Linked DNA regions of Rattus norvegicus. The protein of the gene in region 1 purifies or fractionates together with the protein of each later gene. This does not show direct contact. Links are inferred from orthologs where the notes say so. Each region holds a gene or a part of one and is shown in the gene's direction. Other genes may lie near its edges.

Region 1 (4,040 bases):
CTTTGACCCATCAGAGGAAGTCTAGAGGAAGAGAGAACCCTCCCACTCTTGGGTGGTGAGGAGCTCCCTAGGATCTGAGATCCCTGGCTTTGAAGCTAATATTGATGGACTGGAGGAAGAACTATACTCACCCCCGATGTCCCCAGGGCATTAAGACTTGGGGAGCCCACCCTAAAACGCCTTGTCTAGCAAAAGGAGCTGAAGCCCAAACAGGGGATTCCCACACAGTACAGGGAGTTGACTGGTTACTCCCCAAATGAAGAGATTCTGACAAGGCACTGGACTTCATTCTTCTAGTCCAGCTTCCTGCCTCAGGCATAGTTAAATTTGCACTGGGGAAACACCAGACCTAAGAGTGAACAGGCAGAGGGCAAAGCCAGAGGATTCTTGGCTGGATGACACCATCTTCTTTTCCCCCTTGATTCAGTATTGTTAGTGTCTCGAGGCATTTACTTACATTCTTGTTTTTTGGTTTGCCTTTTCTTTTTCTTCTTTTTTCCTTTCTTTCTTTCTTCCTTTTTTCTTTTCTTTCTTTCTTTCCTTCTTTCTTTCTTTCTTTCCTTCTTCCTTACTATTAATTTATTTATCCCCTGTGTTTGCTATTTTGACGTGGCCTGGAACTTTTAGATTTAAGCAATCTTTCTTCCTCAGCCTCTTGAGTAGCTGATAGGCAGGTGCACTTCACTATGACTGGCAAAATATGTCCTTCCTTCTCCTCCCTTGCCACCCGCTGGAAGTCCTCTTAGGGAAGCAGATCCATTGCATTCCTAATTTTAGGGACCCCAAGGAAAGCCAGCCACATTTGCAAATTACGGAGGGGAGGGTTGAAACAACACGGGGAGAATTGAATAGGAGGGAGACAGATGGTGTGAGTGCTGGGGGAAGGGACGAGAGATCCTGGAAAACTTATGTTCGCCGATTTGCAAGAATGTTTTCACTTAACCACTTCTTGCCTGACTCCTGAGTCTATCTCACAGAAAACAGGGTGTGTCAAGATTTGGGGCCACATGCACCAAGAGCCTGGACATTCGGTGTAGAGAGAGTCTAGCCTCCTGGGGCAGAGCAGGGGTCGTCGGCGATTGGGACTGTCCCACGAGGGGGCGCGTCTCGGGCTCTAGGACCCGCCCTCGCCGCGCTGGGCGCGGGGAGGAGACCCGGGAACCCCGGAGCCCGGCGCTCCGCCTCCCGTTTCCGGGGCAGCGCAGTTACCTGCACCGCCGGAGCCACACCTGGCGGAGGCAGAAGTCTCGGGGCGCGCAACGGGGCGCCGGCAGTGGCTGCGAGAGGCAGCGGCGGCGTGGAGCGCAGCGCGGGGCGGCTGGGGCAGGCAGGCGGCGGCTCGGGCCGCTCTCCCGGCTGGCTGGCCGCGTACTCGGGCCGGCTGGGCGCCGCGGCGGGCGCACATGGCAGCGTGAGAGGCGGGCGGCGCGGGGCTGGGGCCGCAGGGCCGCATGGACAGAGGCGCCACTCCGGCCGGCCCCCGTTAGGGCCCCCGATCCGCGGGCGCCACCCCCCGATCATGCTGCCTCGGCGGCCGCCTGGACCCAAAGCGGCCGGCCTGAGCCGCTGAGCCCCGTGGCGGCCGCGAGCTGCATGGGGGAGCGCGGGCCAGGCTCGGGAAGATGCCCCGGCCGGAGTTGCCCCTGCCGGAGGGCTGGGAGGAGGCGCGCGACTTCGACGGCAAGGTCTACTACATAGATCACAGGAACCGCACCACCAGCTGGATCGACCCGCGGGACAGGTAGGACCCGGAGTGCTCCGATCCGGACCCGGCACCGCGCCTGGGCCGCACCTGCCCTTGGTGTGCAGGGGGAACTCTGCGTGTCTCTTACCAGGTCTTAGTTTGCCCCCTCTCCTCACCCTCACCCCTCCTCGAGCTGTACTCTTGCCCTAAGAGCTGCAGAGAGGGGCGGACGCCAAGCGGACCGCCCGCCGCCAGCCCCAGGTGGAGGACTTAGGCCCTGGTGGCACCTGCCCAGAGTTTTGACCTTAAGCTCTAGCAGGGTTCCCGACCCCTTTAGAATGCGAGGTCTGGCCAGGGTGAAGGCAAAGACCAAACGAGGTGAAGGGAATCTCCCTTGGGGACTTCCTTGGCTGCCAGGGGGTGGTTCTGGCATGGAGGGGTGGTAGGGAGCCCACCGGTCGCTGGGAGACTACTGGAGGAAGGACATTCTGTTTGGCGAAGAGAAAGCTGCTTTTTGACAGGTGCTTCGTTGGCTGCCGAGAAAAGCTTCGGAGCAAGTCTGGGGAAGCCGGAGGTGGGAGGGGAAGGAGGGAGCGCGGGGGAGGGCAAAAGAGGGAGACTGGTTCTCCAGGAATCTCACAGCAAGTTGGAAGCTGTTAGGATGCAGATAGAGGTGAGAGGCCTCTAGCCTCCTCTTCTCGCTTTCTTCCTTCTGGGGCCAGAGGCTCCTCAACAATCCTGACCTTGGTGGGCACCTCGCTGGGTGCGTGTGGCTCTAGCTCTTGCTGAGGCTGGTAGAGTCTTACCATCCCAGACTTCCTTCCCACTTGCAGCTACTCACACCCGGCCCACATCTGCCCTGGGAAGAGGGGAGTGGTCCTTTGCTGAGAAGGTGTGTGGTCAAAGTGTCCTAGAAATGCTGGATTTTCACCTGGTCTGTGACCTTGGGGGTTTGGTGCGGGTGAAGCCACCCGGGGTGATTTTGTTAGACCTTTCATCTTATGGGGTTCAGATGAGGGGATCTGAGAAGTCCAGAATGGGGTGTGTATCAAGATGAGGGTGAATGAGGGGGGAAGGGGGCGGGAGCAGAACGCAACGAGTTCACTTTCTCTTGAGTTCATTCATTCATTCGTCCATTCATTCGTCAATCATTTCTTGAGATCCTACTCTTTGCTCAGCACTAGTCTTCATGCAATTTGGAAATGAACAGTTTAATACTACGGAGTGTTAGGCAGGCTGCTTTTAATCTTTTGACCTCAGTTTCCCTTTTGTGTCCGACTAATGGTGAGCTTGGACAGGAAGGAGTAACAACGGGAACTCAGGAGATAGAAAGACAGGCCAGCCAGGGCGACATAGTGAGACACTGTCTCAAAAAAAAAAAAAAAAAAAAAAAGTTGGAAAGTTTATAAAAAAAAAAAAACCGCAAGCCCAATTCCTTCCCACGTGCCTCACCCCACCTCTTCCCCTCTCTTTCTCTGTGTGTGTGTGTGTGTTTAATAACGGTGTGTATGCAGGTTAATAGTGCGAATGCGTGTGGAGGTCAGTGGACAACTTGTAAGAGTCCGTTTGCTCCTTTCGCTTTATAGCTTGACTCAGGGGTCAAGGTCAGTGGCAAATGGCTTAACCCACTGACCCATCCATCTCACCAACTCTCAACTCCATTCCCCACCTTGTTTGTTTGTTTATTGCTTATTTACTTTGGATCTTTGAGATAAGATCTTACTGGGTAGCCTTGGCTGCCCTGGAGATCTGCCTGCCTCTGCCTCCAGAGGGTTGGGATTAAAAGCGAGTGCCTGCCATTTTACCCAACTTAATGTTCCCGTTTTTAAACTTAAGAGAAAAATCTGAAACCCAGGGATTTGATTTGCTCCTAGTGTTTGCCAACTACGTTGTCCTTACACTCTACCTTTCAACCTCTAATTCTCTCTGTTCTTCCGGTCTCTGTCTTCCGGCCTCTCAGAGCAAGGACCCCCCCCCCCGGGAGGGGGGTGTCTGTAACTGTGTTGGCAACTTGTTACTCTTTAGAACAAACAACTTAAGTTTATGTGTCCTACAACCTAAGTCCCTGCCGCTGAGGCCAGTGTGCTGCTAGCAGTAGGGTGGTGTGTTCCTGGGTGAGTACTGCTTTGCCAACCTTGATGACGACCATGCATCTGCTGAGGGAATGATACAGCACAGAATACTTCTCAAAAAAAAAAAAAAAACCCAGCCAACCATTGCCCTTGGAAGAGGGCAAATAGGTAGCTTCCCAAGAACCGATCTGACTAGAGGATAATGAGCCAGGTTGCGGGAGTTGTGGGCCACATTTGTGACTTTCTGGTACATCTCCCTGAACTATTGCTTAATACTTGCCTTT
Region 2 (4,239 bases), on another chromosome or scaffold:
CATACATTTCATTTGACTTTACCATCAGTGCCAGTTAGAACACGGTACATGCCTTATGGCGTTTACTTACAGATAAGAAAGTTAAGGCTGAGAAATTAAAGTTCTCTAAAAGTCACCCAGCCAGGTAATATGTGCTAGAGCCCACAGTGAATTCTTTCTTTGGTCCCAACTTTCTCATTATTTTGCTTCCCTTTAATGTTTGTGTTTTCACTTACCTAAATGGTAAATTGCAGATTCCAAACCCAACCCTGTGTCCTGGGATACTGTAGTACTCAACTCACCGTGTATTTGAGCAGTATCATTTTTTTTTTCCACTGGAAGGAAATGTGAGTACCACAATGACACTTCATGTATTGTCCGTTCCTGGTTTTATGAACTAAGAGGTAAGTTACCAATTCCCAGAGAGCTGGACAGTGCTTTAAATATAAAGTTATATCTCAGTTGGCTAACGCACTGTCGCACCCTTTTAGGATACTGAGAAGTCAAGCATCTCATCTATCCCCAGCAGAAGCTGGGGAGAACAGAGAGCTAGACAATAGTCTCTTGTTTAGTTTTAATAATTTTAAGGGCGGGATGGGATCAAAGGATAAGATTGGCAACTAAAGAGACCAATCATAGGCCAACAGCAGTCGTGACTGGCCAATAAGTAGATGTAGAAGAATGGTGGGTGGGTCTTACTAAGGGCCGGCTGTTCTAAAGTAAGCACGCCCAGCCAGGCCAAGAGGTGGAGCTTCTCCTGAGTCCCGCCCATCCCTTGGCTCCCTAGTGACCGGCCTCCGGGAGGGGGACATGGACCCTTCTAGAAATTTGGGGCAAGAGGCTGACCCGGCAGGATGACGGAAGAAAAAGGGGCATTTTGTTGGTTTTGCCTTAGGTGGTCAAAGGAAACAAAGGGGGTAAAAACGAAGGAAAGCTGTTCTTGAATTTTGGGAAGCTTTGGCTCCGTGCTGTTTTTTGTTTTTGTTTTTAAATGCATTTCTATGATTTTTTCTTCCTCCCGCCCTGGGGCTGGGAGCTGTGCTGACTCTCCCACGCGTCTCTGCTACTCTGCTGCCATAGATTATTGAAGTCTTTGAACAAGAAAAATCCAACCAATCAACCAAATGTCCAAAACCAAAAAATCAAACCCGGTGCCTTTCTTTCTTCTCCCGCTTTAATTCCTGTACACACTATCGGAACTACCATCACGGAGTAGAGTCCGCCGCGTGGGAGGACTGGAGAGCCTGCGCGTTATCCCAGATCTCTCCCAGACTCCTGATCTTAGCCAACGTAGCAGATCAATTGTTTGAAAGTTCCCCGCCTGAAGGCCGCCTGACCTCCTGGGGCGCCGCCTCCTCCCCTTCGCCAGAGTCCAGCGGGCCTCCACCCCCCCCTGCCTCCCGCCCTGCTGGCCCCGCCCTCGGCCCGGCCCATCCCATCTTCCAGCCCCCCTTCTTGTGGGCGGTCCTAGCTGCTCACCGCCAGAAGAAAAGCCACCGTGCCTCCCCTGCTTCTACCTCTCATCCTTCTCTCAGGAGCTGCCTTCATCGCAGTCACGCCCCTTCCTTCCGAGGAGCTTTCGGGCTGCGTTCGCTGGTAGACCCCTGAAATCACCCCTCCGTCTCCCTTCTCTTTCGTCCCTTCCCTTAGTTCTCCTCGCCTTCCCCCACTACCACCACCTCCAGCCTATCTCGCTTCTCACCATCCGCTGCTCCACCCTCCGGCCCGGTATCCTGCTCGTCCACTGCCACCAAGGAGAGACCGGAGGGAGCAGCGAGGTTGGGAGTAGCCGGGACCTGGGGCTTCCTCCCAACCCATCCCTGGCCTCCGGCCCGGGACCAAAACCGCTTGAGGCTGCAGACCGAGAGTCCTCACCTTATCTTCATTGCTTTCAGAGGTAGGAGAAGCGTCCTTACTTTTGCGGGGAACTGGGGCAGTAATCTGTAGTGCTGTGAACTTGATCACGTCCTTATTTGTGAGTAGGTTTTTGTATGTGCCTGTGGGGTCGCCTGTATGTTCTACTATTTTTGCCGTTGGCCTTGAGTTTTCTGAGATGTGCAAGAAGTTTATTTAACGCAGTTTAAAAGTATTGGTTCCTGTCCTACTTTTAGGAGGAGATGCTGGAGGGGTACCATTGCTTGGTGCTACTTTACTTCCTCCCTGGGCTCTTGTAGGTTCCTACAGATTTGATCGCTTAAGGAACTAAGGACTTAACTAAGTTAGGGACTCCGAGGAGGTCTACCTTCAGTCCTGCAATTAATTGGGACTCCGGAGTCTAACTTCAGTCCCGCAGCGACTAAGTTAGGGACTCCGGGATCTATCTTCACTCCTGCAACCAAGTTAGGGACTCCGGAGTCTAACTTCAGTCCAGCAACTAAGTTAGGGACTCCGGAGTCCAACTTCAGTCCAGCAACTAAGTTAGGAACTCCGGAGTCCAACTTCAGCCCCGCAACTAAGTTAGGGACTCCGGAGTCCAACTTCAGCCCCGCAACTAAGTTAGGGACTCCGGAGTCCAACTTCAGCCCCGCAACTAAGTTAGGGACTCTGGAGTCTAACTTCAGTCCAGTAACTAAGTTAGGGGGACTCTGGGCTCTACCTTCAGTCCTGCTTGAGGAATTACCCTTATCTCAGAGAGCTAGATGGCTTTCTCCTAGGTGCTTACTTGGGTTGGGAGCTCACCCTCCCTGACCCAAGGCCACGAATTCTTCAAGTTTTAAAATGTGGAAGTAATGTACCACACAACTATTCGCTTTATGGACGCATGTGTAGTGGTAGTGGTAGTGAGACTCCGGAGGCGGAGATTGCCGTTATTTGCTTCAAAAGGTCAGAAGATTTTAATAAGTGGTTGAAACATCACGAAGGTGGCTGGTTTAAGGTCCAAGCCCCGGCCACTGTACTTTTGTTCATCAACAGCAATACCATCTTCATAGATAGATGAAGATAGATGAAGATGAGGAGAAGGAGAAGGAGGAGGGAGAATGACAGATTTTATAGACCGCAAGCAGTCTCTGGTGATTGCCTCTAATAAATCATAATAGGCGAATAATTTACAGCAAGGGACTAAATACAAATTAATGAAAGATGAAAGGGATAGATTTGAAAAAGCCTTTTCAGTACTGCCCCTCACCTCCAGATGTGGGGAGACAATTGAAAACTTAGAACTTTTTTCCTCTCATTTAGAGAGAAAGATAATCAACTGTAATCTTTAACGATGAAGGGCTAAGGATATATGTAACTCTTCTTGGGTTGGCCTTGTGAAACCTCTTCCTCAGGCCAGCTTTGGGAAACTACCTCAGACCTTTTAGTACCCTCCTTCAATAGCTAAGAAAAGTCTGAAATGGCATTTTGGACACAGGATAAATTTTTACCTGTCTCCTACTTCTCTTCACTTGGGCAAGTAAGTGCCACAGGCTTTATACTAGTTGGGTTGAAAGACTTGTTCCCAAAATGTCCGGAAGCTGTTGCTTATTCTTTAGAGAATAAATAATTTACATATTTACATAAAATCTTTGGTTGATTTTTAACAGGGGGCTGCGGAAGATGCAGGCAGGGCATCAGGGGTGGCCAGGAAGGTAGAGAAGGAATGCTACAGTGTTACATAGTGACGATTTTAAAGGCTATCATGTTTCAGATCAGCTGGGAGGGAAAAGCTGGCCGGACCACACTACATTTTAAAACGGGCCTGGGACATTTTAATAGCCAGGTGGTTGTAGTGTAGTTACATCTATTTACGGAAGATAACTCAGGTCCCAGCTATTCGGTATGGGTTTGCCTGGTGTCGTTTATGGGCCCTTTCTGGCGCTACATCATACTTTAGTTTAAGTTCCTTTGTACTTTGGAAAAGTTTGTGTCTCTGTTAAATTGAAAGTTAATTTTCTTTTTAATTCACAGCCTAGGTACAAAGTAATCCTGTAACTCCACCTGTACTTAAAGTAAGTTTTACATGGACATCCTGAATCCCTTTTACTTGACAAAAAATAAAGTTTAGAAAGAGATTTTCGCAATTCATATTTGTCATTGAGATTGGGACAATCAAATGTATTTTTTTAATTTATGAAGCAAAGTTTAGTAGACTAATGCATAACTAAGGCATTTTTGGAGGTCCATTTTCCTCTACTTTTGTATAGAGTGACAAGGACTTTCGAAAGCTTTTGAGAATGGAGTAGTAGGAAGATAGAGGGATGGGTACTTTGACTTTGAGGTCCCACTGAGTTGCCAGCATTCTAAGTGGGTACATCTGCTTCTGGGCCTCTCCTAAGA

The links.
Region 2: the proteins of Wwc1 (region 1) and Amot purify together in Homo sapiens (affinity purification with mass spectrometry; 3 studies listed by BioGRID and IntAct, with this or other methods). This does not show direct contact. The link is inferred for Rattus norvegicus from reciprocal best matches to the Homo sapiens genes WWC1 and AMOT.

What each region holds. Positions count from the first base shown.
Region 1 is NC_086028.1:20,955,638-20,959,677, reverse strand, and holds the start of Wwc1 (protein KIBRA), read left to right. Parts: upstream 1-1,240; 5' UTR 1,241-1,622; coding exon 1,623-1,741; intron 1,742-4,040. UniProt on the Homo sapiens protein: Regulator of the Hippo signaling pathway, also known as the Salvador-Warts-Hippo (SWH) pathway.
Region 2 is NC_086039.1:113,835,047-113,839,285, reverse strand, and holds the start of Amot (angiomotin), read left to right. Parts: upstream 1-1,439; 5' UTR 1,440-1,876; intron 1,877-3,870; exon of another isoform or gene 3,871-3,911; intron 3,912-4,239.